Regions from separate parts of the Mus musculus genome. Here regions 1, 2, 3, 4, 5 and 6 are each reported to be linked to region 7. Evidence: microRNA targets listed by miRTarBase, many of them from high-throughput screens and not tested one by one. Region 7 holds a microRNA gene; each other region holds the end of a gene's coding sequence. Distances are between the middles of the regions.
Evidence for each region. The annotated mature microRNA mmu-miR-335-3p reads UUUUUCAUUAUUGCUCCUGACC and lies in region 7 at 1,564-1,585, shown strand. An mRNA with a match to its seed (bases 2 to 7 or 8) in the 3' UTR can be bound and repressed. Matches are read on the target gene's strand: a 7mer-m8 pairs with bases 2 to 8, a 7mer-A1 pairs with bases 2 to 7 and ends in A, and an 8mer does both.

Region 1 (4,402 bases), not on the chromosome of region 7:
CATCATAAGCTAACTCTTAGAAAACTTAAAATCACTTTATAGCTCAAGACTCTGATTTCTCTCACAATATTCATTTCCTTTCTCTGTAGCTATTGATGGCACTACCTTTTGAATATAGGGTCTGCTCAAAAGCAGCTCTCAATTGAAAAATGTGTTTCATGAATGCAGTCTCAGCAGTTAGACATAATTGCTTCTACCAGTGTCGGTGATAAGGATGTTTTGGTGTCAACTGCTAGGTAAAATCAGTTTGTCATAATAAGACTTGCTAATTCCTACAAGCCTATTACAACAAACTGGGAATTTTATAATGAAAAACTATCTGTTCTGAATAACATTGGTCAAATGATTCACTACTACTGCTGTGCTCTGCTCTGTCAAGTCTCTAATAAGAACTTTTAAACTTTGTGCCTACTGAAAAGCAGCTTCTAGAGTTTGCAGGGAGGACAAGAACTAGAAAGTTAAATTGTAATTTTGCCAGGAAGACTCTTCCATGTGTTCGGGGATTTTTTAAATAGCTTTATATATCCAACCTTGAGAGGTTTTTGTGGAATACTCCTCTGGACAATAACTCTTTACTCCTAGCCATTATTAGATTGGAATTTTGTAGCAAAATGCTATTTAAAATCTACTGTGAATATTTTTCTACTTAGCTTTCTGACTACTGATTTTTTTTTTTTTTACTGTTCTTTCAAGTTGGCTTCAATTTCACTCAACTTCTAAATTATCTGTAGTTATTTTTGGTAGAATCTATTTGAAATAGTAAATTTGTTCAAAGTATAAGCCAACATTTTAAAAAGGTTATAGCATTCTTGCAAGATTAAATAGGGATAATTTTGTTATCATTTTGGTGGTCACTATCCTCCACTCAGAGTCACTGAAGAATTTGTTCAATTGGGCTAAAAAGATAAAAACAAATGAACCCTGCTGTAGGCATTTAAAATGTTATAGTGTGTGCATTTTGAGGAATTAAATGTAAATTCAATAGCACTGGCTTCTTTACCTCTGTTAGTCATATGAAACCTTGTTCATTTCCCCAATTACTGTACATTTTCATATTTGTACAATCTTCCTTATCATAAGTTCTGCTTTTCATTAACTGTTACCTGATATTAGTTCATAGAGTTTATCACAAAATAAAACATATTCATTCTAATTTCTGAGTGATTTTTTTTGCAAGATTGTGGTAAATGAATTGAATAGTCTTTCAATCCTATTGTTTCATGGTTTTTTCCATAGCAGGAGAGAAGCTGTATTTGTGATGACAGCATGGCAGAAATTGTCATTAGGTTCTGTGTTTTGGTTAAGCACGTCCCATTGTTTCTTGAACCATTGCAGTTAAAAGTAAGTTGGCATTGCCAGTTGTTTTAGAGTGCCTGCTGTACTTTTCAACACACCACGAGAATACCTGTAAGTGGATAGGGAAGATAATTTTATTAATTTGAAACATCACAAAAGCTGTCTGGGTTTCCAACGTGGCAGTGATACAAATTTTAAGCAACATCTATTTTATACAGGTTTTGAATTAATATTTTAATATTTCATGCCAAGTTCAATACTTTAGAGCAGAATTAGGAAGAAAGCAGTAAATGTTATAAAATGCCGTCAAGATACATTGGAAATACAAATTCCTTCATTACAGCAAATGTTTTGCAGAAGAGTGAAGCAGCAAATATAATTTTTCCTAAGGTAGCATGCACTTGATATAATTCAATGTGATTAAAAAAAAAGCTGCTCAAATTAAGTGTTACAAAATCTATACTGTTTCAAGTTATTTTGTAAAGTAAAAAAAATACATAGAAATGAGTCATAGAATCTTAACACTTTAAGAAATGTGATCATAAAAGATATACTTTGTAATGGTGCCTTTAAAATACACACATTCCCTACAGCAAGGGGTAAAGTGTAAGTGAGAAGAAAAAACCCTTAGGTATCTCTATAAGTCAATTGATTATTAGTCCTTTTTGAAGCCCAATAGAATTTTAATATGTTCAGAACTGAAAAAATAACAGTAATTTTGTGTAACATAAAAGGATTGTAGTCTTTTGGATTTGAAGACTGGATAAGAGACATTGAAAGTTAAACTGAATGTTTTGCAAACATTTACCGTAACAGTGAGTGCACTTGTTGTGCCTTGGTGATTCTTGATGACCAGGTGTCTACAAGGTAGATGGGAGCACCAGCATTGGTCTGCTGCCTCCAACCATCAAAGAAGGGAGGCAGCGAAATGGGCTGGAAATGTTTCCAGTGTGTGTTCTTGTGTTTGCAGAACTGTCTAATTAGGCGTCCTCTGTAGCTCCTGTACTTTTACATAATACAAGTGTAGGATTATCAATCTTCTTTTAAACCATTTCTCAGGTTAAAATAAAATCCCAGTGAATGTGTTCATGCTGGAGTGAAGGCATGGGTGCTAGAGTCTCAACAGTTTGATGGTTTAAAGCTCTGTATCATTAAAACAACTATATAACTACCACACTATGCCCGGTGGACTTTTAAATGCGTAACACTTAAGAGTTTGTCAAGTTGGCTATATTTGAGGTCTTGAAGACTTGAAATGGCATTGTAGCATTTTCATAATCTTGAATTGAATGCTGTCACAATTGATCTCAACAGAAAAAAGGGACCAATAAGAGCAGTGGCATTAAAATACAGATGAGTTTTCAGTGGTGGGGTGCAGGACCGTGCGGTTTGCTGGGGTGAAAGCACAATAGCTGAAGATTAAATAGTCACAAAGATAAGTAACAATTCATACCACGATCCAATCTAATCTAGCATTTTTAAACTCTGAATTTCAACTGTAAGATGTCTATCTCCAGTAGCAAATGTGTTTTGTAATAATGCAACATATAGTAGGAACACTGTCTCCTAAGTTGCCAGATGTATGCTGAGATCTACCGAAAACAGCACACATGTTGCTCTGTATTTCCGTGCTTCTCCATCAGCCGGTCATGGTCTCTCACCACTCAGGAGAAGGGACTCTTGCACTTTTCCCCTTAGGAGGTACCAGCCACAAAAGCTGAATGATCACAACAGCCATTTTTACACGACTTGGAGAACAGAGTAAAGAGATTGGCAGCTTTTTTTTTTCAATATCCAGACACGAGCAAACAAAAAGCCACAACTTTCTGTATTGGAACTACTGTGTAGCCCAATCAGCTACGAAATTTTCCTAAGAGTGACATCAATTGTAGGGAAAGATAGAGCCTATAGACCAGGTGATTCAACCAAGGTGCTATCATAGTCATCTACCAAGGGCCCGAGGACTGCTGTCGTTTACTTAAAGTGAAACAGATGGCAACCACACTTGTACTGTATAGAGGCGGAGCATCAGGAAATGCGTATCTGAAGAAGCCATGCTTCTTGCTGGACTGGCTCCCCAGCCCTGCTTAGTGAACTTGCTTTCTTCGAAGTACTAGGTTTGGCCTAGCCAATCCTGTCCTTCCTTGATAATGAGTAAGCTTCATCCCTATCTTTCCCTAGCTTGGCAAGCTGTTGTAAAACTTGATGTAGAAGAGTCACACTTTAGATGTAACCTACACACTTCCACTAGAGCAGAAATACAAAAGCCACAATAATCTCAATAGCCGACAGGTATTCCTCTTTAAGGACTGTAAGGTGGTGGCTTTTCAAAAGGTGGGTAGTAGGGTGGAGAATAACGGGGTGGCGCACTGGAGGACCACATGTAGCTGGGTGAAGGAGAGGGCGATTGGGGCTCCTGCTCATCGGAGAGTCCAGAAGGAGGAGAGGATGGAAAGACACCGGAATGCTGTGTAACAAAGAGAAAACAGCTCAGGCAGTGAGTTGAGTGCAGTTCCTTCCACAGCCATTACTATTTAAAATGAATATACACCAAATGTGCTCCTGTTTAGGAAAATAGCCCTTAAATCTTATGGTATCGGTAAAGGACATAAAACAGCCCCACATCAAGTTATTCGGACTGAAAACACTGGGAATTTTCCTCCCTTGCCCCTTCAACTCTGCATCTAGACAGTTACTCGATCCTGTTCTGCTGTGTGGCCTCTTGAAGACATCACTCCATTTTCTGTGTGTCATTCAGCCCATGAGTTCTTCTCTCCTACGCTATGATTTAAGCCTTATGACTAGTCTTTCAAAATGTCTGGGTTTAAGAATGTTTGATGAGGTAAGTAACTGATCCCTAGGGAAAAAAAAAAACTTTTCTGTAAGAATATGTCATTGGGATGTCTAGGGATCAGGGGTCCAAGGTTAGACAAATCAGTTGGCTTCCTTGGGTCCCGGGGTGTGAAGTCCTGTTCCATATAAACTACCATTCCTTTCATTACCCATACACGCCATAGATCAGAAAACAAGGCTTAACAAAGGCATGGGGGTGAGAAAACCAATGATAAGAATGAGGAACAATTTGTCAGTTTTCCAAAGAGACTGA
Region 2 (4,397 bases), not on the chromosome of region 7:
GATTGAAGTCACTTTTGAGATAGATGTTAATGGTATTCTCCGAGTGACAGCTGAAGACAAAGGTACAGGAAACAAAAACAAAATCACAATTACCAATGACCAAAACCGCCTGACACCTGAAGAAATTGAAAGGATGGTTAATGATGCTGAGAAGTTTGCTGAGGAAGACAAAAAGCTCAAAGAGCGCATTGACACCAGGAATGAATTGGAAAGCTATGCTTATTCTCTCAAGAACCAGATTGGAGATAAAGAAAAGCTGGGAGGTAAACTTTCTTCTGAAGATAAAGAAACCATGGAAAAAGCTGTAGAGGAAAAGATTGAATGGCTGGAAAGCCACCAGGATGCGGACATTGAAGACTTTAAAGCCAAAAAGAAGGAACTAGAAGAAATTGTTCAGCCAATTATCAGCAAACTCTATGGAAGTGGAGGCCCTCCCCCAACTGGTGAAGAGGATACATCAGAAAAAGATGAGTTGTAGGTGCACTGATCTGCTAGAGCTGTAATATTGTAAATACTGGACTCAGGAACTTTCGTTGGGAGAAAATTGAGAGAACTTAAGTCTCGAATGTAATTGGAATCTTCACCTCAGAGTGGAGTTGAAAATGCTATAGCCCAAGTGGCTGTTTACTGCTTTTCATTAGCAGTTGCTCACATGTCTTGGGGTCAGGGAGAGGAGGAATTGGCTATTTTAAAAATTGAGAAAAAGGTGGGTCAGGGTGTGTGTTCACCTTGGATATGGTCTATTTAACAATTGGGTCATGCACATGTGGTGTAGGAACTTTTTTCTACCATAAGTGACACCAATAAATGTTTGTTATTTACACTGGTCTAATTTTTGTGAAAAGTTTGTAATTATATCCATCTTTTATTTTAGATAACTAAAATTTAAGACTGGATTCTCAGGTGTGTCTTTCTTCGGTGGGCAGGGAAGTGGGGCTTGTGATGCTGTGGGGTGGTACCACTTCTTGGAGATTTATTTAGCTTTATAACAATGTAGAGATGTTTGCTGTTTACTCCCCTAGGCGAGGGTTATTTCAGGATGCCTAAGTCCAATTCTTTTGAACATGGTTGAAATCATACTTCCCCTTTGTAAAATTGCTTTCTGGGCTTTTAGTTTTTTCAAGATAAGGTCTTTAGCTTTGTCTGTCCTCGAACTCAACACTGTAGACCAGGCTGGCCTTGAACTCAGATCCACCTGTCTCTCGATCCCAGGTACTGGGATTAAAGTGTATACCACCATGGCCCTTTCTGACTTTTGTTACAAGTAGTGCTGTGGTACTGCCTGGAATCTCTTAATAAATTGATCATGTTCCAGGCTGTGTTTAGTCCAAGCCCAATCTAGGGATCTGAGGCTGGTGCATGCTCAGTGGTGAGCGTTGCCTAGCACTAGTGTGAAGCCCTAGTGTTGTTAATCCTCTGGACTGGAAAAAAATTTAAATATACTTGTATTTTATATTTTGTGTGTACCCACAGGCCTGTGATATACTTAAAGAGTCCATATCACTGGGTAGTATTTGGTTTGTAATTTATATTTGAAGACGTTTGGTTGAAAGTTATTTAACAGCTTGAGGATTTACTTATCCAGCATGTATGAAGCCCTGGATTTATTTGATACTCAGCACCACATACTGGATGTAGTGACTCAGGCTGGAGGCAGGATTAATTAAATACTAGATTCAGTTATGTAGTTCATGAGAGCTACATGAACCAAAACATGCTCTGAAGCCTAATTGGTCAGAACCCCTTTTTCTAAAATGTCTTACTGGTATAGGGATAGGGTATATGGCAACCCTGATATTACAAACGTCAGTTGATGGTCAAAGGATTGGTTGAGAGGATTGTTTAGACTGGCAACATCAGGAGAGTAATGATCTAGGTAATCTATATGATCAATGAAGACTTTTCTTGTGTGTGACTACATTGCAACTCTTTATTAATAGTACATTTGGAAGGAGATAAGGCAATATGTTTATACTGTGGTTATCATTTTCCCAAGATCAAGAAGCCAGCTTGGTGGCTTTAAGATCTTCTGAGGCCTGTCTTCCCCAGCTGTAGGCAAAAATCCCTGGGGTTTATCATGATCTTGTAGACTGGACACTTGACTTGGCTCAGTTGGTCAGTAGAGTGCTCTACTTACTACTCAGATTTAGATGTCTAAGGCCAAATATGGTCAAGGACTCAAGGTTAAGAATGATTTGCTGATCATAAAGATGTATAAAAACCATCTTCTGTTAGAACCAAATAATGGAAGCATACTTTTTAAAATTGACTTGTTTATTTTTGAGAGTAAGTCTTGATCAGTGAAGATTTTTGTCCAGGGCTAATGTGGTATGGGAATTGAACTCAAGACCTTCGGAAGAGCGCTGGTGCTCTTACCCACTGGGCCACTTTGCCAGCCTCACCCCCACCCCGTCTCACTTTTTTTTTTTTTTTAAAGATTTTATTTATTTGAGTCCACTGTGGGTATTGGATTCCATTACAGATGGTTGTGAGCCACCATGTGGTTGATGGGAATTGAATTCAGGACCTCTGGAAGAGCACTGCCATCTCTCCAGTCCCCGTCTCACTCTTGAGATTCATTTTTGTACACTACCTGATACACTTTGAACCCAGCTTGGGCTTGGTAGCTCATGCTACTTATTTCTTCACTCAGGAGGCTGACTGAGGCAGGATTATAGCAAGTTCACAGTTACACCTTGAGATTCTTTCTACATCATCTGTCTTACTCCCATTCATACTTCCTAAAAGGGGAGAGAGGAGCATGATATAGTACATGTCTGTAATCCTAGCACACTGGGACACCGAGGCAGGAGGATGATAAATTTGAGGCCAGCCTATGCTGTCAGATTTTTCTATCAAACACAAGTATTTGGGGCCAAGTGAAATGTTAAAATTGATTTGTACAACTTCATGCTGGGTCCAGGGATGGTTAATAACAAGAGCCAGTCCTCATCCTTTGTCCCCCATTACCAGCAGGGTCCTACTACATAGGCATGCACCACCACACCCAGCTTTTCTTTTTCTTTTTTTACTTTTTTTTTTTCCAGATGGGTAATATGCCCACACCTGAACAAGGTTTAGGGGAGGTACATATTCTGTGAACACCCAGTCATTGTGATTATGAACCAAATAAGGATCTCCCACACTGCTCTTGTAACTGCTATCTTTCTAGCCTCCTGCCTGTACTTTTTTCTAGTGATTCGCTAATACATATTAAAGAGTGTCTAACTCGTAATTGTCTACTCCAATACCTAGCTTGGGTATCTACAGATTTTATTGCTGGTAAAACTTTATAATGGAATTATTTGCACTAGGCTATCCAGTTAAAAATGTTGATTAAGTGCAAGATGGATATGCTTTTTATGTCTGGTTTTTCAAGACAGGGTTTCACTATGTAGCTCTGGCTGTCCTGGAACTCACCACGTAGACCAGGCTGGCCTCTGCCTCCCAAGTGCTGGGATTAAAGGTGTGTGCTACTATGCCTGGTGTGCACCACCGCACTGGGATGAGAGAATATATTGTGCAAAAAGTATTTGGCAGTGTAGCTCGGCAGAGTTTTCACTTTTGTAAAAAGTCACAAGTAATACAAATGTGGGCTTTATTAGTCCACTACAGTTACGAGACAGTCGTCATAAACCTCCCCTTCTGTGTTCATCCCACCGAACACAAAGCAGAGCAACACAGTAGTTGGACTCTCCTCGTGTGGTCCTCCACTCTGGGTCTCTGCTTTCTCAGCAGCGTCCCCTTTCTCATCTTGGAGGGTTAGAATGACAGAATCTGAGTCTTTATTCTCAGAGGTAGACATCACTGGCCATGGGATGACACACATGGAGTGGTCCAGTCGTCCAGCGGGTAGGGAAGTGTCAAACTGAAGTACAGTCCAGTGCTGCTTTTCTGAGTAAGGGGGACAAAACAAAGGCTCCTGTTAAGACATAGTTCCACAGGTATTCAGTGATGTTCTACATCACTTAAGCCACAAAGAGGAAATAAAGGGAAAAACAGGTTGGGTCTGACAGTGTATGCCTGTAATCCCAGCACTCAGGACTCACAGGCAGGAGGATGCCTGCCTTTGTCAGACCCTGTTTTTCTGTGGGATTTTGTGTTTTTGTTGTTTTTGTTTTTTTAAATACGTACGTACACTGTGTGTGTGTGTGTGTGTTTTGGTAGAGTAGAGTAGGACCACAAATGTCTTCCTCTGTCCATATCTGTCCTATTTTCCTTTGAGGAAGGATCTCTCACTGAGCCAGAAGCTGCAATTTCAGGTGGGCTGGCCAGCCAATGCGCCCTGGCAATCGGCCTGTCTGCTCCACAGTGCTGGGGTTATAGGCGCACATGACCATGCCTAGCTTTTATACGGATGCTGGGATTCTAACTCTAGTCCCCACGTTTGCACAGCA
Region 3 (4,402 bases), 27 Mb from region 7:
GGAATATGGGGAACCCTCACAGTAATGGAAAACACAAACACATGGCTAGAGTTTATTTAACTCCAAACTTGAACTCCCCAGGTCCCACCCTGAAACATTCTCATAACATGAAAACCTGTTGTTACCATGAGATTAATTCCATATCCAGTCTTAGAAAATTAACTAATAGTCAAATTTTAAATAATTTCTGTATTTTAGATTATATGCTATTACCTCTTCAAAATAAAAATTATTAAATGATATAATATGGGAAAGTTCATGTCATATAACAATCAGAAGCAAAACTGACCCCTCCTAAGGGATCCTTTGACCCCAGATGAGGACCAGAGCCTAGATTTGAAGCAGCTAAGAGACACAAAGAATCCTAACACATGAACAGCTGACAGGAAGCAAGACACATTTACTTCTGAATTGACAAAAGACTTAAGAATTTAGGATTATAAACTATCACAAAGGATTATAATATACTCTTTAAATTACATTTTAATACAAAAACTTAGAAAATAAAGACACATGTATTTTTCATATTAACATGTAGTTTTATCAGGTTTGATCTTAACAAATGTGTGTTAAGAAAGTCTACAGGAAAGGATGCAGCCCAGTCCCTATGGAGAGCAGCACTTTTTATGCTTAATCAAGGGTGACTGAATTTGGGCTTTAAATTTCTTTCAGGTAGAATCAGGCATGAAAGCAGATGCCTATAATCTCAGCACTCAGGAGGTTAAAACAAGTCTGTCTAAACACACACCTACACACTCCTAACCTCACCGCCACCATCAAAAGCTTTTTCCAGAAGAAACAGGCTCAAATGCGCCCAAGGCCATCATCTACAGATTCCTCCTTGTCAGGTCTGGAACTCGCCTTCATCTATGAATGACCCTCAAACCTCTGAACATCACAAGGTCATTCTCAATCCTAGTTTCAAAGTAAAGGGGGGAGGGAGACCAGCAATGTGAAGAACACAAAACAGAAACAAATAAGACACACCACGTTGTCATTTTTAATGTTTGAGAATTTTGTTGTGCATATTAGTTTACAAGTTCTCCATACTCTTAAAAGTTGTTTTCAAGCCAGGATGTGGTGGCACATGCCTTTAATTCCAGTACTTGGGAGGCAGAGGCAGGCAGATTTCTGAGTTCAAGGCCAGCCTGGTCTACAAAGTGAGTTCCAGGACAGCCAGGGCTACACAGAGAAACCCTGTCTTGAAAAACCAAAAAAAAAAAAAAAAAAAACACCAAAAAAAAAAAACACCAAAACCAAAAAACAAACAAAAAAACAAACAAACAAACAAACAAACACGTTGTTTTCATAACTTTTCAACACCAGACTCAACAAGAAGGCCTTTAAGCTCTGCTAGTCTCCCCATTCTTCCTCGGACAGTGAGCACGTCCTCTACTCTCTTCCGTGTATTTTGTCCCTTGACCTGGGCTCTTGCTATTCAGGATGACTGTGCCCCAGCCTCCCCAGATGTTGGAACTGCACATGTAAGCTAACATGTCTGGAAAAGCATTGTTTCTTTCAACTGACATCCATGAAAAGACCTTAAATTCTTTTTTTTTTAATTTAATTTAATTTTAGTTTTTAAAGATTTATTTATTATTATATGTAAGTACACTGTAGCTGTCTTCAGACACACCAGAAGAGGGAGTCAGATCTTGTTACGGATGGTTGTGAGCCACCATGTGGTTGCTGGGATTTGAACTCTGGACCTTCGGAAGAGCAGTCGGGTGCTCCTAACCACTGAGCCATCTCACCAGCCCCCTTAAATTCTTTATTGAGAACTTATTCTTTATTTCTACTAAATATTTTAAACAAAAGTTAAAGGCAGAAAACATGTCAGACTTGAAGGTATATATATTTCATTATTTTTCCTTTGTTTTCTGCCATAAAATTCCAAGTCACTTTTGACATTTCCTGTTCTTCTCATATCCCATAACTTTATATTCGAATTACCACACAACGATATGTCTGCCTCTGTTCTTTGGTTATCCACATACGTGACACCTAATAAAATGTCTCTTACAGCCATTTGTTGCTGATACTTTGTTCGGGGAGACAAGCTGTGGCTCAGGCTACCGTGGAACTTGCTCTGTAGCTCAGGCTAATTTCAAAGTTACCATCCCGATTCTCTTGTCTCCTCCTTAAGTCCTGAGATTATAGGTAGAGGCCACCAATACTGGCCCCCATATTTATTTGTAATCCATAGTGGTTATCTACCAGTAACAACTGAATCTTTATTACAGAGAATTTGACACTCAATGTTATTGAGTGTCCTTAGAGATAAATATATCAATAATTTACAGCTAGCTGATAAATGCGCCACAAGATTGTTCCCTTTAATTTTATATTACTTCAAAATATACATATATACACTCACTGCACATATACTAAATTTAAATTACCCTGTGAAAATATAGATTAACTACAAGCACACATTCAGGGATTCACAGTTTGACAGTAATTTTATATGCAGGTAAAAAGGAGTGTGGTTTTACACCCCTAATTTACATAGCAAGCTGACATGTTTGAATATCCTTTGTAAAAGATTTTTTTTTCCGCATGAATCTTAGAAATGAGGAAATTGGAGACATAAACCCCAAGCTATGTCTATAGCAGTATAAGTCATTGTAATATTATCTTTACTAACAAAGGCCCCAACTCGCTTACTGTGTGCACAGAAAGTGGTATAAAAACGCTACATACAAACCACACAGCAACAAACTTACACAAGATTGGCACTGTCAGTGTTTCACTTTACAGATTTTGACCAAAGCCTCAGAATATTCTTCTCTGGAGCTTACCGAACAGTTACCAATATATAGCATATTTAACTCCACAAAAATAGAAATGGATGGGGAAGTGCTAAAAATATTTAAAATACACAAGAGAGCTATTTATAAATATGTATACACTTTAGCCATGTATTTTGCAGGGTTAAATTTACTAATAAGTGATCCAGAGTACACTATTCAGTCATAGAGAACCTAGGCTTTATTATAACTCCTAGGTACATTTATTAAAATGTACCTTGTATCCCTTTATCTCTTATATCCCTTGTATCCCTCCCTTGGAATGCCCCCATCTCCTAGGTATATGTTCTCACTCTTCTTGGGAAAAAATATGCTTGTTCTGCTTTAAAAAAAAAAAAATTAAAAGGTACTCAGGAAGCTGACGTTAGGAAGACCATTTGAACCCAGGAGTTCAAGGTCAGCCAGTGAAAACCTGCTTTCTACAGAGAAAGGAAAAAGGAACACTTGCAAATAACACATTGACCAGCTATCAAAATTCAAAAAAAAAAATACCTGTCCAACTGAATAAAGAACAAACTTACTAAAAAGAAACTAAATCTGCCTCTTAGTCTTAAAAACTTAGAAAGCCCCAGATTCAATCTCTAGCCTTACAAAGGAAACACAGATTCATCACTCATCAAATGGACCAAAACCGCTTCTTCTCCCATTCAGCTCAGAGATGCACAGCGGCTTCACAGCTGTGTTATGATGCTTACACTGAGCATGTGCAGTTGACCATAATGATGATGAGGATTTATGAAAATACTACTGGGTATGTGGCTGGTAAGCTTATACTGTTAGGATCGATCAGTCACAATGACACACGGGTACAGGTGGCCTTCTGTGTGTTACCAGTTTCTTGATAAGCCCACTGACACTGCTGCATAGGAACTCCGAGTCTGAGCTGTCGATCAGGCCCATCTCCCACTGGAGGCAAAGCTTCTGCTGAATGAGAAGGTAATTTCAGAGTTCTTGTATTTTCCCCAAGCACCAAAGGGCACCACTACTGCAGTGCTGTTGTCTTCGGTACCGTACTGTATTGCCTGCAGGAGTGGGGAAGAAGAGACAGGCGCTGGAGTCAAGGGACCTTGTGCAATCACACAGCATCCTTTCTCTGGAAGGCCAACTGGTTCTACACACACTTTACGATACAAATGTAACTACCTAACAAGGTTTGGAATGGTTTCACCCTGTAACCATGTGCCATATGGTTATTAAGTGCATATGAATTTCAGATGGTTCAACTATATCCTATGCTCCACTGTAGCAATCTTGGCAATAGAAATTACCTGTGCTCCCAGTGAGGACACACCCAAAGCCCTTAGCATGGTACCAATTATGGGCAAGCCTTAATAAATGCTGATTCTTACCAATGAAACTGCTGGTAGGAGTATAGCCCAAGAAATGGAAGAGATTGGGTGAGGGATAAAAAGGAACAAAATATAGGAACATCTTTGTATGAAAGTGCGGCTAGAAACCTACCACTGTATAAGCTACCTTAACATTTAAAACCTCAGAAATGGGTATGTACAAGGTTATAACAAAAATGTTTTTAATATTCCTTCTTCAATGGGAAAGTGGAAATAAATGAAATTGCCTGCAGCAGGATTATA
Region 4 (4,332 bases), not on the chromosome of region 7:
TAGTTAAGGAGTCAATTGAGATTTTTTTTCCCCTTCCAGCTTGTGCACGCCCCACCTGTGCATCTGGGAATCCCATCCCTGCATTCATTCATCAAGAAGCACAGTCCTCAGGTTGGCCCTGGCTTAGAGAAAGAGGACAAGGCCGACTCAGACCTTGAGGACAGTCCTGAAGACGAAGCTGACGTCTCCGTGTATGGCAAGGAGGTGAGGACACAAGGCAGTTCGGTTGTGGCAGCTTGGTGGCTGGACATGTGCTACAAGGTGTCCTGGTCGATATGGGGCTTTTTAAAAAGTGCAGGGGGGCTCATAGGTGTGGTCTTCTAGGAACTACTCCAGGTGGTGGAAGCCATGAAAGCGCTACTTTTAAAAGAACGACAAGAAAAGCTGCAGTTGGAGATACAGCTCCGAGAGGAAATTTGCAACGAAATGGTGGAACAGATGCAACAGCGGGAGCAGTGGTGCAGGTACTGCTAGCCCAGCCCCTGTGACAGGGACAGCAGTGGGGTGTAGGCTCTGTTCTCCAGCTTCACTCAGGATCCTCACTACCACTTTCTGACAGTGAGCGTTTGGACAACCAAAAGGAACTGATGGAGGAACTGTACGAGGAGAAACTGAAGATCCTGAAGGAATCACTGACAACTTTCTACCAAGAGCAGATCCAGGTGAGTTTATCCTGGCCAGTCTCAACAGCCACTCGGCTTCCATCATTTGGGTCAGAGCAAACAAATGTCTACTTTTACTCTGTCTTGAAAAACCAAGCCAACCAAACAAAAACAAAGTCCTGGAACTCACTCTGTATGTAGACCAGGCTGGCCGTAACTCAGATCCACCTGCCTCTGCCTCCCAAGTGCTTGGGACAAAGGCACACACTACCTACCACCACCGCCACTGCCAGCATCTTATGGGTTTCTGAGATAGGGTCTCACTATTGTCGCTCTGGCCAGCCTCAAACTAAGTTTTATAAACTCTAGAAAGAACAGTAGTATATACTATAATTAATGTTTATTAGGTTCCCTTAGTATCGTGCAGCTATTGAGTTTAAGTTGAGGGATGAGCTCAGTATGAAGTGTGCTGCAGGCTAACGTCAGCGTGAATGGTACGGACAGGATGCTTAGGTTCTTTTAGTCTGGTCCTCTGGCGTTTGTCTGACCCTGGACAACTGTGCTCTCTCCTTCCCTCTTAGGAGCGGGATGAAAAAATTGAAGAGCTAGAAACTCTGTTGCAGGAAGCCAAACAGCAGCCAGCGGCACAACAGTCAGGGGGGCTGTCCCTCCTCCGGCGGTCACAGAGGCTGGCAGCGTCTGCCTCCACTCAGCAGTTCCAGGAAGTTAAAGCTGAACTAGAGCAATGCAAAACAGAGTTAAGCTCTACCACTGCAGGTGAGGAAGGCAGGAAGCCCAGCAGTGAGAGTGGGCGAGGGAAAGCTGGCATTCAAACTCAGTCCTGACTCCACCTCTGGGTCATATCTACCCAGATCTCACTCTGCTGCTGTTAAAGCCCAAAGCTGAAAAACCCATGCATTAAGTGTTATCTATATGTCCTGTGTTTCTCCCCTCAGAGCTGCACAAGTATCAGCAAGTGTTAAAACCGCCACCCCCAGCCAAGCCTTTCACCATTGATGTGGATAAGAAGTTAGAGGAGGGCCAGAAGGTATTTAACCTTAATGTCTTTCAAAGGCCTGTGTCAGGGGTTTAAATGAGAATAAGGCGTTTTTCTTTTTGCAAGGGTCTGAGGAATGAAAGCCTTCTGCTTTACATTTATTTATTTGTATGTAGTGATGTGGAAGCCAGAAGAACGGTTCTCTCTTCCCACCATGTGGGTCCTAGATGTAACTCAGATTGTCGAGGTTGGGTGCTAAGTGCCCTCACCAGCTAAGCCAGCTCACCAGCCTCCGGCTTCCTTAAGTCTGTCTTCAAATGGCTGTTGATTGATTTTGGCCACAATCTGATTTCTACTCTTTCAGAATATAAGACTGCTACGGACAGAGCTCCAGAAACTAGGACAGTCTCTGCAGTCAGCAGAAAGAGCCTGTTGCCACAGCACCGGAGCAGGAAAACTTCGTCAAGCATTAACCAACTGTGATGACATCTTAATCAAGCAGGTGAGGGCAGCCTAGCCAGTGTGTACGTGAGAGGGAGAGAAGAACCAGTGAAAAAATAAAGCTAATGTCATATAAAGCCCAGGGCTTTCTGTATGCTAAGCAGGCAGGCACTCTACCACTAAGCTATGGCATTTCTCATTGCTAATGGTACCTGATCTCTTAAATGATAAATGTATGTTTTAAACTAAACATGGCATACCCAATAATTATGTTTTCTCTAACTTTTAATGTTCTTAGAACCAGACCCTGGCTGAGCTGCAGAATAACATGGTGCTAGTGAAACTGGACCTTCAGAAAAAGGCAGCCTGCATTGCTGAGCAGTATCACACTGTGCTAAAGCTCCAAGGCCAAGCCTCTGCCAAAAAGCGGCTGGGAGCAAACCAGGAAAACCAGCAACCAAATCATCAACCCCCAGGAAAGAAACCATTCCTGCGAAACTTACTTCCCCGAACACCTACCTGCCAAAGCTCAACAGACAGCAGCCCTTATGCGCGGATCTTGCGCTCACGGCACTCTCCTTTACTCAAATCTCCCTTTGGCAAAAAATACTAAAGTTGTGGGGATGAAGATGCATGGTTGTTGCCCTGAGGTTGGTCAGCTGCTTAGCTGATAAGTCTCTTTTAAGCTTCAGCATACACCCAGAACTGTATTCAGAATTATTGTATTATAATCACCTATGTAATCTTGTTTTTTTTTTCATGCACAAATATTATATGGAATAAAGACATTGTTTATGCTTTTATTTGGATTCCAAATTTAGAAAAATATAAAAAGGGGGACAGAAAATTGATATAAATACCATCTGGCCTGTTAGACCCTTGGACAGGAACAGCAGTGGGAACCAGCCTAATGCACACTAGGAAATGAGTACAATTTTAAATGATACCCAAGAGGCTTGGGTAGCTTTGTCTGGCCAGGAAGTTGCTATGTCAAAACACCCACCTGCCTGTCTCCAAATGGGATTAAAGACATGCACCACCACATGGCACCCAGTTAGTGTTCCTTCCATTAAATGGGGAGTAAAATGTTCTGAGTACAAGAGAAGGAAGGCTAGCTCCTAACCACAGAATGATCTATAGCACCTACTGCACAAGCTCATTGTAGCAGACATCAAGTGGCTCTGAAACCTAGAAAAACACAGTGAATTCTTCAACCTTGTAGATAAGGTTGAAAACCAAATTGGAGACTTTAAAATCCGAAGTAAAAAAGCTTCCATAATGTCCACGAAGTTCTCTTCTTGTGTTGCTTCATCACATATATATATAGTTAGCATGGCCACAGCGGCCATCTGGCCCTCATGTGAGCCACAGTCCATACTCACTGACTCACTTGGAAGATTTTAGAAGGCTGCTTTGGAAAACTACACAAGATCATATGGATAGCTCCACTCTAAACCTAATCTCTTATCCGAACAGTACACTCAGTAACATAAAGGTCGTTCTAGTTAGGCCTCACTCAGCATTCGCCTGTAATGCTATCATTAGGGAGGCTGAGGCAGAAAGGCCACAGGCTAGGATACACAGAAACCCTGTCTTTAAAAAGAAAGTCACAGCTGAGCTCCCTGCATGCAGAGGACAGGCACCAAGCATGGTGAGCTTCGCTCCGTTCTTGTCTACCCCTCTCAGCAGCGCCGAAACCTTGCTTCTGTGGCATCACTGCTGGTTAAGTGTTGTAAAAGGGATTCCTTGGGGGGTTGGGGGAGTGGCTAGAAAGGCCAAGACCTGCCACTCTGAATAGAAGGGAGCACTGCTAGCTGGCTGCAGAAGACCATCTTTCCCCCACCATATTTCTGCCTGCCTCTGAAGGTGGTTCCATAGGCTGTCCCTCAGGCTGTTTCTGTCTAGGTCCTTGGGAAAACAGACGTGACTGCTCTTTACTGCAGGTAAGGTTTGATATTGGTCTAGCAATGTGCTGACGTGAGGGTAGTCGACTATGGTGTGACTGAAGACAGGTTGAGTGGAGAAACTCTGCGTGTAGGAGTGTTGTTTGCAGACAGTGAGGCAGGGAGGAAAAAGGTACCCGGCGTGTCAGAGGTGGGTGTCTCCCCTTGGTTCCTCAGCTGTAGGATCTGGCGGAGCAAGGCCTTACCTTCTTCCCGGGTCTGAAACAAAGTCACAGCTGTTTCAAAATATATTCAGTGCTAATCTCAAAAAATGATTATTAAAATACTGTTCAGATCATTCCTTACAAATAAAAGGAGTTCTGCCCCCTTTTCAAAAATGGTACTATTT
Region 5 (4,402 bases), not on the chromosome of region 7:
CTCCGGCTCCTACTCTCAACACATGAATCACCGCTACTCCTACTGCAAGAGAGGAGCTGAAGACAGAGATGCTATGGAGCAGGAAGACGCTGGGCCCGAAGTCCTGCCGGAAGTCCTGGCGACTGAGCATGTTGGTGCCCGGGCGTCTCCCTCACAGGCTGACTCGGACGAGAGAGAAAGTCTGACAAGGGAAGAAGATGAAGACAGTGAAAAGGAGGAGGAGGAGGAAGATAAAGAGATGGAAGAATTACAGGAAGGAAAGGAATGTGAGAACCCACAGGGGGAGGAGGAGGAGGAGGAGGAGGAGGAAGAGGAGGAAGAAGAGGAGGAAGAGGAGGAAGTGGAAGCGGATGAAGCCGAGCATGAGGCAGCAGCCAAGACTGATGGTACAGTGGAGGTTGGAGCTGCACAGCAGGCAGGCAGCTTAGAGCAGAAGGCCAGCGAGAGCGAGATGGAGAGCGAAAGCGAGAGTGAGCAGCTGTCTGAAGAGAAGACAAATGAAGCTTAGGAGTTCTTCTAAAAGGAAATTCTACTTGGTAATGAAATTTGCTCTATATTACCCACGCTTTTCATGGAAACATGGCTCCATGGCTCCTGTGCTATGGTTCCTGCTCACTACTGTGTAATGTCAGAACTGAAAAAAAAAAAATTCCGGGTGTGCCTGAACCTCAAACCTAGTAATTTTTCATGCAGTTTTCAAAGTTAGGAACAAATTTATAACATGAAGCAGCTTAGAAAACATTAATGACTCAGAAAACAAAGGTTTCTCAGCAGGTTACAGGAGGCTGGATGGGCGTCCGGCATGGCTAGCAGTATTATCACTCTTACGTTGGCTCATTCTTAAGCTCTACAATGGGAGAAATTTTATAATTTTTTTATTGGTAAACATATGCTAAATCCGCTTCAGTATTTTATTATGTTTTTTAAAATGTGAGAACTTCTGCACTACAGAATTCCCTTCACAGAGCAGTAGAAAGCAGTTCAAACCGTGCTGGCTACCTGCTGCTACCCAGTCAGTCAGGAGATAGGACCTCTGACGTTAGATGCCGTGTTGCCATCTAACATGTATTGCTAGCCTTAAGGAAGCAGCCAGAGAAGAGCTGGAGTTTCTTACTCGTGTGATTTTTAAATGGAGTTCAAAGGTTGTCGTTGAGTCCTGACTCCAGGGACGACCAGTGTTGATGTGGCAAGGCCGGCAGAGGCGGCAGAATCAGTGTTCGTGATTGTTTGCGTACGTTAGCAACCATGAAGGATCTATAGGAAGCAAGCGCTGTGTCCCTTTGGCCTTAAGCAAGACCTGTGCTCTAAGTGCCATTCTCAGTATTGCAAGGCTCTGACAGCCTTCCCGCAGTGTGGCCTATATTAACTAGCAGTTGTTGATTCGTTTGTTGTGTCAAAATTCCCAAACAAAACTCAAAACCACTGACTGTGAGAGAAGCTGAAGCACTGGGGCATCTCACACTTTTGTTCCTCAGTAGTCATTTCATGTTGATTGACTCTCAGAAGTCTCTACAGAAATAAAAGGGAAATTCTCCAAACTACTTAATCCATGTACTTGCGTGTCAGGCATGGATACGCTATTGGTTTTTGGTTCACAGCCGTTTTCCAAATGTTAGTTATTACGGACCCAGGTGATGAACAACAGCAGCTGATTTTTACCTACCAGTATTATTTTATTTCTTTTAGTTTATAGATCTGTGCAACATTTTTGTACTGTATGTCTTTAAGCCTGGCAGTATTAATACCCTTCTTACTGACACGTACTTTTAGTTTTAGAAAACTTTTATATTTATGTGTCTTATTTTTATATTTCTTTATTTATTACACAGTGTAGTGTATAATACTGTAGTTTGTATTAATACAATAATATATTTTAGTATGAAATTTTGGAAAGTTGCTAAGATTTACAGTAGAGATGCAGTTGGTTCCCGTGCGTTGAGATTTGATTTAACAGTGTTCTGTTAACATTTATACTTGCCTCCGACTGTAGACCAGCCTTTAAATGGGAAGGTATTAGTTTTACAACTACAATCAAGTCATTCTCCCTTTCCCCAGTTTTTAATAGGAAACTCTTACACTTTGACACTCACTGTGTGCGACTCATAGCATGCCGCTCTGCAGTCTTCTGTTAAGAGTTGGCCCAGCCATAACTCATTCCCTTAGCAAGCCAAATTAGAATTGCCTTCTGTAAACAGTGTTGGGAACAATGTTTAACATGTGCCAATTTGTTCCTGTATCCATGTATGTAAGCTACCAATCTGACTCTTCCTTTTAAGTTCCTTGTTACACCATGGTCATTTTCTAGTTTTTTACCAGACTCCCCAGCTCACAATAAACGCATCAACAAACCTGACCTGCTGTCGTTCTTTGGATCATCAAATTTCCTTTGGAAAATTGTCTATGAAGTGGGCATTACATCCTAGAGCTTCATTCATCTTGAGCTGAGTTTGTTGACACAAAGTATTTGAGACACTTAGCACAAAGAATGCCTTTTCCTGTGGGGGAAATTCCCTGAGGAAGCCCTCTGCACAGGTTGTCCCTTCTTCCAAAACCCACAGAGCAAGAGCCTTCCCCTCAGGGAACATCAGGGCTGTGCAAGCTTAAGATGCTTTTTGCTTGTACTCTGCCACTCTTTGAACCCTTCTCATTCAGCTCAAGGACTGTCACTGATGTTCCTCCCCATGTCATGGTCATGCCTCATGTGCCCCCTGCCCATGAACTGCCTCTCAACAGACATTCATTGAATGAACACAGAAACTGCACATTTGCAGAGCTTAGCTGTGCTCACTGTTTTGCCTCTAATCTGAAAGTTCATAAGGTAAATGATTCCCATAATGTGCCGGTGGTCTTGTTTGAGTCTTATAGGCACTTACCATAGGAGATGTAATAAATGACTGCCTTGGAAGCTGCTCTGTTGTTGTGATGTGTGGAGAGCTTATTTCTAGGTGTCTTTCGGGTGCTCAAGTTTATGGTACGGGGTACAGGCATTGAAAGCTCAGGGAGGGACTACCTCGAAAATACTTGATAGACCTGGTTCTGACAGAGTTAGGACACACATCCTATGCCAGGACCCCACATTCTTACAATCTTGTGTGCTCCCCATCTTCCCACACCACAGCCCTTACTTCCCCTGTGTCCACTGTCAGCAGACTGCCTAATTTCCTGTCCCTAACACCAGCTATACCAAAAAAAAAATGTACTGTAAAGGTTATGAGATGCTAAAGTACCATTCTTAGGGGATGTCCACTACTCATGAAAGTAAATCTTGGAGAAGATGGTGCCTCATCCGTGAGCCTAGAAGGCTAATGAAACTAACCACATTATCAGGGAGCAGGTCTTTCCAGTGCCCCCTCACACCAGGAAAGAGTGGCATTGGTGTCCTGAGATGCATCTGCCTTGCTGCTTTTATCAAGATTATGTTTCAGAGAGCCTTAAAACTACCTGGGAAAGCCATATGGCCATAGCCACATGAAGAAGACGTAGAATGGGGCTCTGCACACAGACCTGTCTGACTCCAAGGACATGTCTCTGTCCAGCCTGCATCACATGTCATGTTGAGGTGGATTCTCCTGGCCTAGCCCTAGGCAAGAGGAATAGAAAATACCCCTGAGAGCAGCATGCATCCTGGCAGAGGAAGGTGGAGACTTGGGATTGTTCTCAGTTTCCAGTGCAAACTTGAAAGATAGCCTAAGGGAGGGAAAGGGGTTAAACTCACAGAGAAATCTAATCCTGGATTCCACCTGAGATCACCGGGAAGCTATATTAAAGCAACCATGTATTAATTCTACCTCTGACAGAACTTCAGACCTACAGACACACCTCTGCCCAGTAAAGACAAATTCACCCAGAACACACATTTATTTACCTCAATAACTCCTGGGTCATTTACAGGGAAAAAACATAGGGCATAACAGAATTCTCACTTTTGAGATGGAAACCAGCCTAACTACTCAGTGGTTAAAAAAAAAACACCCAGAATGCCTGACGACCTGAGTTCCATCCCTAGCACTCCAGAATCCCAGAACCCACAGTGGAAGGAGAAGACCAACTCTAATATTGTCCTCAGACCAGCATTTGCATGCCATTCATGCACACACATAAACTAATCATAAAATTGTTTTAAAACACCCATAGATCAGTAATAAATACATTTTTAAATCATCTAAATTATTACAAAGCCATATCAAGTTGTTCCTGATGAAAAATATGACTCACAATGATGGCATCTTATGTCAAAAATTGTAGTATAAAGTTAAGTGATATGTACAAGAGAAGGCACAGTGTTAAATGCTGACAACAGGAGAGAACAAAGGACTCATACAAGCCTCCACCTCAAACTGTACAAGTAAAACACAAAACAGGAGAGAGCCGATAATAAGGAAAAGAGAAAACCGTGACATAA
Region 6 (4,402 bases), not on the chromosome of region 7:
ATTTCTTGGGAGAATTGAAGGAAAAATCTCTCTCTCTCTATCATCTCTATTCATCCATATACTTATCATCCATTCATCTATTTAAGTACATGCATATATATGTGTATATGTGCATATATATGTGTATATCTTTGCATATATATATGTACTTAATCCATCTCTCATCTAAAATACTTTTTAAAAATATATGGTAATAATTGCACTATATTTGAAGTTTTCTGAATAATTGACTATATTCTTGTGGTCACTGGTTTTATTTCAAAATCAGTCGAATGCCTTTACTCATTTTCTAGAGAGGCATTACACCATAGTTCATTCTAGTTTTAAGTTCAGCTGAGTTCAGACTCTATTCTTGAAGCTCCTTCTTTTGAACTGGGCTTCATCTGTAGTATCTTCCTGGAGTGTCCTAAGGTAAGCATTAAACATTTCTGCTCCAGTGATCATTGTTGAAATGCGGGCAAATCCATACAGATCCAAGTCTGGCTTCGGAGAGTGTGGGTCAGGGGTTGTAGACTATCTACAGCGTTCTGAGTCTGTGACTAGTAATGGGAAGCTGGTGAAGACAGCCTGACATTAGCAGACGTGCACCTCAAAAATGTTGTTGTTCTCTCAAACAGAGCAGTTCCAGATTTACTAGTGCCCATGTTATGGATGGAGAGAGTCACAGTAATGATGGTGACTGTGGCAAGAAATAAGCACCTGTGTTCTGAGGCCGAGAAACCCCGCACCTGTCCATCAGGGCTTCAGAAATAAGTGGCCAGCTTCAATATACTCTTTGAAATGCTGAAAAAAAAAAGCTGTAGTGTATTCTTTGCATTTGTTTTTAAGTTTGAGAAAACATATGGTCAGCGTTGACTGCAGTGTTGATATTGAAGTTTAATCATGAATACATAGCATGTGAAGTGTCCACTCTTTAGGCTTTATAAGACGATTAAAGTGTTCTAAGGAGAAAGCACATCCTAAGCTTGGGAAGTGCATCACCCCTTAAGCTTCCTATTCATCGTGATAGTAATGGAGCTTATCGATGCATTCATGACTGTGAACATGCCTTTGAAACTGTCAACCACTTCTTGTACACGGTTAGAATTTTGAACATTTATCTGGGAAGCTTCTAACAGCATACTCTGTCAAGTCAACTTGTACATAGTATTTGTAAGTACTCTCTATGAGAACATTCAGAAGATGTTTTAGTGTTTGACTCATTCACTTTGTCCCAGTTGTGTGTCGAACTGAAGAACAGTTTGTTGACTGTACTAGGAAAGAATGCATTAGTACTTTTCATCTCTGTCCATCTCTCTTTGCACACTGAAATAGTTTTCTTTTGAAGCCATAGCTGCTGTTCAAGTCCTTTTTTTTTTAAATAAAGAAAATATATTGCACCAACATTTTGAGCCATATTTCGTTTTATTGGAATTGCTTATTTTATGTCTCAAGAATCAACAACATTGTGAAGCTCTAACAGGACTAAAATGAAGGAACTTACATTAAGGGAATCAGCCAAATTGCACTGATTGTTTTTTTTCCATTTGTCCATAATGGTGATTGATATTAAAACCACCGGGCTTAGGAAAAAGAAATGCCCATTGATTGGAAATATTTCTTTCTTTTTTTTTTTTTTTCCTATTACGGAGTCTTGTACCCAATGTCAAGCGAACAAGGACTCTTCATTCTCTTTCCTTCCACTCCAGTTCTTTCACTTTTTTTTAAATTAGGTATTTTCCTCATTTACATTTCCAATGCTATTCCAAAAGTCCCCCATACCCCCCCAACTCCCCTACCCACCCACTCCCACTTTTTGGCCCTGGCATTCCTCTGTACTGGGGCATATAAAGTTTGCAAGTCCAATGGGCCTCTCTTTCCAGTGATGGCCAACTAGGCCATTTTTTGATACACATGCAGCTAGAGTCAAGAGCTCCGGGGTACTGGTTAGTTCATAACGTTGTTCCACCCATAGGGTTGCAGATCCCTTCAGCTCCTTGGGTATTTTCTCTAGCTCCTTGGAAATATTTCTTTTTTCTTTTTTAGCTTATTCTTTTTTCTCCTTTATTGAAAATAACTCTTTCCTCTTATAACATATACTAAGATAAAAATCAAAATAGGATGAGACAAACAGGAGGAAAAGAGCCGAAGAAACAGAGATGCAGAGACCCATTTGCTCACACAATTCCATAAGGAAACTAAACTGGAAGAACCTGGAGGGTTCAAAGAGAGAAAAAAATATAAATAAACATATAAATAAAATAAAAATAAGATAAAATTAAACAACAAAACAAAACAAAACAAAATTCAACCAACCAACCAAAACCCCTAAAACTATGAGATGGTTATGAGACAGGAACCTCGGATTATTCTGTTTGCTGTCTAGATGACCCGCACAAGGATCAAGCTTCTTTGATCCTTGTATGAACTATTGATGAAAAAGCACCCTGGTGACCCAATCTCCACTCAACAGCAGTAGCAGGGAATCAAACTGTCCTCAAAGGAACCTTTGTGAGGGACACTTCATATTCAAATTGTGACATAAGGTAATGAAGAGAAGGCCAGAGATAAGAAAGATCTCGACTATTTGTATGAAATCCACTACTGCATGAAGGAAAAAAAACTCAACTCAGACTGTTTTTAAAAATTAAAGATGTTCTGGTCTAATAATATAGTTCAGTGACGGGACATTTACTAAACACCTGAGGGATTCTAAATGCAATTGCCAGTGTTCAAAAATAATAAGTATTATTATTACTTTCTTTTTTTTTAGACTTTATTATTTTAAAGTGTGTGTGTGTGCGTGTGCATGTGTGTACAAATGTAAATTCTGTGTCTGTTGAGGTCAGATTCCCTGGTGTTGAAGGTGGTTGTGAACCACTTCTTTTTTTTTTTTCTTTTTTTTTCCATTTTTTATTAGGTATTTAGCTCATTTACATTTCCAATGCTATACCAAAAGTCCCCCATACCCACCCACCCCCACTCCCCTACCCACCCACTCCCCCTTTTTGGCCCTGGCGTTCCCCTGTACTGGGGCATATAAAGTTTGCAAGTCCAATGGGCCTCTCTTTCCAGTGATGGCCGACTAGGTCATCTTTTGATACATATGCAGCTAGAGTCAAGAGCTCCGGGGTACTGGTTAGTTCATAATGTTGTTCCACCTATAGGGTTGCAGATCCCTTTAGCTCCTTGGCTACTTTCTCTAGCTCCTCCATTGGGAGCTCTGTGATCCATCCATTAGCTGACTGTGAGCATCCACTTCTGTGTTTGCTAGGCCCCGGCATAGTCTCACAAGAGACAGCTTTCTTCTTATCGATAATAGATTATTTTTCACATAATGAATCCTGATTATAGTTTCCCATCTCCCTAGCCACTCTCAATTCCTCCCCACATCCCCTCTGACCCAGATCCACTTCTTTCCTGTTTCTCTTTAGAAAACAAACAGGGTCCTAAAGGATAATGATAAAGTGAAATAAAATAAAGGAAAATAAAAGGAAATAAAAAAATAAGATAAAATGAAAGTAACACTTGGAATTGGAGAAGACAAAGGAACAGAAGGGAAAAAAAAAACCAAGGTAAGGCACAGGAATCAGAAAACCATTCATTCACACACACAGAAATCCCATAAAAACAGTAAACTGGAAGGCATAATATCTACACACTCTGTGAGGATCTGTAGGGTAAAAAGAGAGAAGGAAAAAAGGATGAAAATAATAAGATAAGGTTAAAAATGGGGAAAAACCTGATATGACAATTGTGAGACAAAGAACCTTCAAAAAGGCCAATGAATTTGTTTTCTCTTGGTCATTTACTGCTGGGAATGGAACCTAACATTAAGAGTAGTTTGTTTCCTAAGTGAGACTCCCTTAGAGAACAACTAAATTTTCATTTGCAAGAGGCTATCAATTGGAGAAAGCTTCTGGGTTATGGAGGTGCATGTCCCATTTTCCTTTCAGCTCTAGGACCCCATCTGGAGCAGACCTGTGAAAGTGCTGTGAGTCAATCCTACTGATGCAGAAGACCATGTTTTCTTGATGTCTTCCATACCCCCTGGCTCTTACACTCTCTTTTTATTATTAATTAATTTATTTAATTATAGCTTCCCATCCATCCTCTCCTAATCTCTCCCCCTCACCTCACCTCCCCACCATCCTTCCCCCCAGCCAACCTTGGCATATCAAGTATCAGTAGGACTGGGAACATCTTTTTCTATTGAAGATAGACAAGGCAGCCCAGTTAGAGGAAATTGACCCAAAGGTGGCTAACAGAGTCAGATACTTAATAGCTCCTGCTATTAGGTTCCCCACACAAAGCCTGAGCTGAACAGCTGTTACCTATATGCTGAGGGTGTAGGCTTGTCCCATGTATGTTCTGTTTGGTAGTTCAGTCTCTGTGAGCCCCTGTAGGCCTAGGTTAGTTGATT
Region 7 (4,402 bases):
ATGTGTTATGTATAGGGTGCACTCAAATACAAAGACAGCGGTTTTATTTGTAGCTCACTTCCTAATGTCTGTAGCTTTAGTTTAGGAGGCACTATCCCAATTCTTTAGAGAACCCTTTCCTTGGTGACCATGGCGGGTCACAAAGGAAATGGTTTCTAATCGTGCCTTATTTCTCGCCTCCAGGATAAATTGATCTGGACCTTTGAAATCCAGGCATGGCAAGCTGGGGCCACAAATCTGTGCTTCCCCCCCCCTCCTGCCCCCCCCCCCCACAAAAGTCTTGAGTGCTAGGTGTGGGGGTGGGGTCTTAATTAAATAAAAGGGAACCACCTCAAGAGTCTGCTAAGAATGCACAAATATAATCTGCTGCCCAGACTTGTAAGAGATTAGATATTCAGGGTCAGGGCAAAGCTGCTTACTGGAATTCTCCTGGTCTCTCCCCTCAACAGTTCCATAGCCCAAATGCAGACAGTAGTGCCAAATGGGGATTCACTTGGTCAGAGGATATGTATGTGTTAGAACCCAGGAGCAGCTCTCTGCTTAAGGCCATGCAGTAAGTTACATATGTGCTTGGAAAGAATGGTAGTGAGCTAGTACAGTGACTGCCAGATGTCAAAGGGTAAAGGTGTTTATCACATTCTTCTTGGTAAAGTTTATGCCATTGTCACGTTGGGTGGGGAGGTGTGGAGTGGGGAAGGGAGGGGTGAAGTGGGGAGGGGAGGGGTGGAGTGGGCAGGGGAGGGGTCGAGTGGGAAGGGGTGGGGAGGGGAGGGGAGGGATGGGGGGTGGGGTCAAACCTCACAGTGCCCAGGTTTCCCACCCATGTTTCATTCTGATTTTTGGAAGTGTACAATGTTACCTTGGCTGCTTTTTCCACAGGATGAGAGAGTGGTGGGTCCAAGTAGGGCTCCTGGCTGTGCCCTTGCTGGCTGCGTACCTGCACATCCCGCCCCCTCAGCTCTCCCCTGCTCTGCACTCATGGAAGACTTCTGGCAAGTTTTTCACCTACAAAGGCCTACGCATCTTCTACCAAGGTGAGAACTGGGCTATTGGAGAATCCCAAGGACGTGGGTCGTGTAGGTTTCAGCTGAAGTTACTTATTTTGTGTCCCTTGGTCTGTTGCTCCACAGTGAAGGTGAGGTGAAGGTGGGGGTAGAATTGTGCCTGGTAGTAATTGCAGCCCCATTTGTATTTGAGAAATTACTTTTCTCTTTTGAGCGCCCCTAGTGTCAGGTAAGCTATATAGTATTTCGAGATCTATCTATACCTTTGTTTCCCCCACGCCCCACCCCATTCCCAAATTCATGCACTATTTTCCGTGATTTGTTATATGTAGCTGATAAGATTGACTTGATGACTGCTATTTAATTACCACACTCAGGATATTCAGTTATATTTTAACCTTCATTATTTCATTTTTCACTTAATTTTTACAACAGCATTTGGAGATAGGTGCCATTAACCTCATTTTATAGCTGAAGAAACCGAGAAACAGATTGGAAAAGATTTCTTTTGGGCGGGGGTCAAGAGCAATAACGAAAAATGTTTGTTTTTCGTAAACCGTTTTTCATTATTGCTCCTGACCCCCTCTCATGGGTTATAGCCAGTCGAGTAAGTATGCATTTTTTTTTTTATGTTGGCTTGTTGTTCTTTCCCAGACTTGATATTCAGTGTTACATCTTATTTGCATAGGTTCTTTAGGTTAAATCCAGTATATGATATTTTAATTGCTTTTAATTAAATAATTTCTGAAAACATGCTACCAAAGTTTTATTCCACTAGCAGTATTAATTTCAATCCAGTACTGTTGGCAAGGTATTTTATTGTTTGAATAATCTGAAATATGTCACATACAGAAAAAGTTCCCATCACTATTAGCCCATCTTTGTAACAGTTTGATTTTTTGAGTTGCATGAATTCTGCTAGTATATGGACAAATGGTATAAGCTCAGGTGATCCACTGGGAAGAACTGTCACATCTTAGATATTAGGTGTGATAAATATTGATTAGGGACAAAGAAGTTTTAGCTTGCTGTGATTATAGTATTTTAACTGTTTTTCCTTTTTATTTAAAAATTTGAGTTTTATATTAATGTCAGCGAAAATATGAGGATGTCTACACAACTCTTAAGTGATGATGAACAAACTGTTTTAAGGGTTTTCATGTAAAGCATGCCATTACGATTTAAAAGCGCAGATTAGGAGGAAGCTCCTGAAGTCCTGTCAGCTTGCTTTCTAACACAGCATGGTGATGTCATTCATTTAGTCTGATCCTTTTGACTGGATTAGATTTTGGTGTCGTCAAGGCTGCCTTGCATGCAGTTTGCCTCATTTCTCATTTTCCTCCTAGATTCTGTCGGTGTGGTCGGAAGCCCTGAGATAGTTGTGCTTTTACATGGCTTTCCAACATCCAGCTATGACTGGTACAAGGTAATAATGTTTCTAGGTCTGGCTTATGTCCTAAAAAAAATACTCAAAACTCAAGATATTTTTTTTGTTGTTGTTGTTGTTCTGGTCAGCCCTAGAATTCTTTTGCAGATTTGAACTGTTTGATAAAATCTCATTAAATGTAGAATTGCTTTTTATGTACTGTAAGGGGAGTAAAATACTGACTGCAGAAAGGGACACTGCCAAATTAAAGCTGGAGTTACGCTCTCCGTACAGTGGCATGCAGGCCTGTTTGCTGTGGGGCTGGGCAGTGGGAGCAGAGTGCTCACCATGCTTGCTTTCTTAACAGATCTGGGAAGGGCTGACCCTGAGGTTCCATCGAGTGATCGCCCTTGATTTCTTAGGCTTTGGCTTCAGTGACAAGCCGGTAAGCAGCAGCTGGGTGTGGTCCGTGATGGGGGTAGGTGGGTGGGTACAAATGAGGGTCTGGCAGGCACTGCTAACATCATGTTGTATCTCTGGCTTTCCTTTCCTCAGAGACCACATCAGTACTCCATATTTGAGCAGGCCAGCATCGTAGAGTCCCTTCTGCGGCACCTGGGGCTCCAGAACCGCAGAATCAACCTGCTGTCTCACGATTATGGAGATATCGTTGCTCAGGAACTGCTGTACAGGTCAGTGAAACCGGACTTCTGTCCTCTGCACAGGTGTCGTAGCTTTAGATAATGGGAAACTCAAGTATTCTGGGACCATCACACCTCTAGGGGTCGTCTGCAGCCCTTGTGGGGAGTCAGTTACTGAGCTACATGTGTCTTTTTTTCTTGCCCTGCTCCAGGTACAAGCAGAATCGATCTGGCCGGCTCACCATAAAGAGTCTCTGTCTGTCGAATGGAGGTAATTGCCTTGGTGGTAGGTGGAAAAGTAGGGTGTAGTTTCAAAAAGTCACCCTTTTAAGTCACACAAGAAAAAAAATTTAAAAATAATCTGATATTATAAACAGACACCATATATCGGGCATCTTTTACCTTCATTGTGCCATGAGTAGTTTTCATGGTTGATGGTATTTATGGAATACATATTTTCAAATCTATAGCAAATAAAAGGATAGCCATGATGGCAGGAGCCTCAATGGGTGAAGGGGCTTGTTGCCCAGTCTGTGGATATGACTTTGATTCTGGAACCCACGTTGTGGGAGAAGATTGATCCCTCTGGGCTGTCCTCAGACTTCCGCATGTGTCTTGGCACGAATATATACATAAGCACAATGAACACACATTTTTGTTGTTGTTGTTTGTTTCTAAAGAGCCAGGTGCAGTGGTGCACACCTTTAATCCCAACACTTGGGGGACAGAGGCAGGTGGATCTCTGAGTTCAAGGCCAGCCTGATTTACATAATGAGTTCCAGGACAGCCAGGGCCTGGAACCCTGTCCTGAAAACAAAAACAAAAACAAAAACAAAAAATAAAGGAGCTATCACAAATGTGATTCTATTGATCTGGCTGGTAAGCTACATTAATAAACTCTTAATTGGTGGTAGTGCCAGGTGCCAGCTGGGAATGAGTCTTACCATTTGGAAGTTTTGGGATTTTGTGTGTGTGTGTGTGTGTGTGTGTGTGTGTGTGTGTGTGTGTATCTTTTCTATCATGGAGATGCTCATTAATCCAGAAATGCCCAAATGCCCCAACCTGAATGCCTCCAGGGCAGCCTGGGACAAGGGTAGTGGGTCCGTCCCTTTATCAGTGGAAACAAAGAGTGATTTTTCTTTTACAAGAGCCTACCTACAGAAACATACACGTGTTTGCAGATGAGCTTGTTACTACCACTGTGCTCTGAGCACTGGGGTGAGCTGAAGGGAGTGTAAGCATAGGCAGCCGTGCGTGCGGTATGGAGGAGCATATAAATTACTCTCCATTTTTGTACCTTAAAGCGAGAAAAGCAAGCCCAGCGTGTGGCAATTTGTCTATTAAACAGAGCACCTTGTAGTAATTAGCAGTATAGTCATGCCTCAGTTGGT

Region 1: miRTarBase lists Tmem255a as a target of mmu-miR-335-3p. Seed matches in the 3' UTR shown: 7mer-A1 at 3,080-3,086 and 7mer-m8 at 2,566-2,572.
Region 2: the mRNA of Rabepk is a reported target of mmu-miR-335-3p. Seed matches in the 3' UTR shown: 7mer-A1 at 3,371-3,377.
Region 3: miRTarBase lists Ppm1k as a target of mmu-miR-335-3p. Seed matches in the 3' UTR shown: 7mer-m8 at 1,304-1,310 and 8mer at 519-526.
Region 4: miRTarBase lists Cdc23 as a target of mmu-miR-335-3p. Seed matches in the 3' UTR shown: 8mer at 2,794-2,801.
Region 5: the mRNA of Zeb1 is a reported target of mmu-miR-335-3p. Seed matches in the 3' UTR shown: 7mer-A1 at 636-642.
Region 6: miRTarBase lists Opn5 as a target of mmu-miR-335-3p. Seed matches in the 3' UTR shown: 7mer-A1 at 785-791.

The regions. Positions count from the first base shown.
Region 1 is chrX:38,195,894-38,200,295 of GRCm38, forward strand. It overlaps Tmem255a (transmembrane protein 255A), which reads right to left. Exons shown (of 10, transcript NM_172930.4): 10 at 1,404-3,763. The coding sequence ends at 3,599. It overlaps Zbtb33 (zinc finger and BTB domain containing 33), which reads left to right. Exons shown (of 2, transcript NM_020256.2): 2 at 1-1,153. Among named protein-coding and RNA genes, the nearest start is that of Zbtb33, 8.3 kb to the left of the region's middle.
Region 2 is chr2:34,775,636-34,780,032 of GRCm38, forward strand. It overlaps Rabepk (Rab9 effector protein with kelch motifs), which reads right to left. Exons shown (of 8, transcript NM_145522.4): 8 at 3,031-3,894. The coding sequence ends at 3,602. Hspa5 (heat shock protein 5) reads left to right here. Exons shown (of 9, transcript NM_001163434.1): 9 at 1-894. The coding sequence ends at 478. It also overlaps the pseudogene LOC115489640. Among named protein-coding and RNA genes, the nearest start is that of Hspa5, 5.7 kb to the left of the region's middle.
Region 3 is chr6:57,507,018-57,511,419 of GRCm38, forward strand. It overlaps Ppm1k (protein phosphatase 1K (PP2C domain containing)), which reads right to left. Exons shown (of 7, transcript NM_175523.5): 7 at 1-3,832. The coding sequence ends at 3,701. Among named protein-coding and RNA genes, the nearest start is that of Ppm1k, 26 kb to the right of the region's middle.
Region 4 is chr18:34,629,963-34,634,294 of GRCm38, forward strand. It overlaps Cdc23 (CDC23 cell division cycle 23), which reads right to left. Exons shown (of 16, transcript NM_178347.4): 16 at 1,721-4,202. The coding sequence ends at 4,032. Kif20a (kinesin family member 20A) reads left to right here. Exons shown (of 19, transcript NM_009004.4): 13 at 40-204; 14 at 325-464; 15 at 560-662; 16 at 1,184-1,379; 17 at 1,559-1,650; 18 at 1,964-2,101; 19 at 2,339-3,315. The coding sequence ends at 2,653. Among named protein-coding and RNA genes, the nearest start is that of Kif20a, 7.2 kb to the left of the region's middle.
Region 5 is chr18:5,772,559-5,776,960 of GRCm38, forward strand. It overlaps Zeb1 (zinc finger E-box binding homeobox 1), which reads left to right. Exons shown (of 8, transcript NM_011546.3): 8 at 1-2,910. The coding sequence ends at 508. Among named protein-coding and RNA genes, the nearest start is that of Gm34740, 120 kb to the right of the region's middle.
Region 6 is chr17:42,553,762-42,558,163 of GRCm38, reverse strand. Opn5 (opsin 5) reads left to right here. Exons shown (of 7, transcript NM_181753.4): 7 at 618-1,381. The coding sequence ends at 695. Among named protein-coding and RNA genes, the nearest start is that of Opn5, 55 kb to the left of the region's middle.
Region 7 is chr6:30,739,791-30,744,192 of GRCm38, forward strand. Mir335 (microRNA 335) reads left to right here and starts at 1,509; the gene lies at 1,509-1,606. Mest (mesoderm specific transcript) reads left to right here. Exons shown (of 12, transcript NM_008590.2): 2 at 880-1,034; 3 at 2,351-2,430; 4 at 2,738-2,815; 5 at 2,926-3,062; 6 at 3,224-3,282.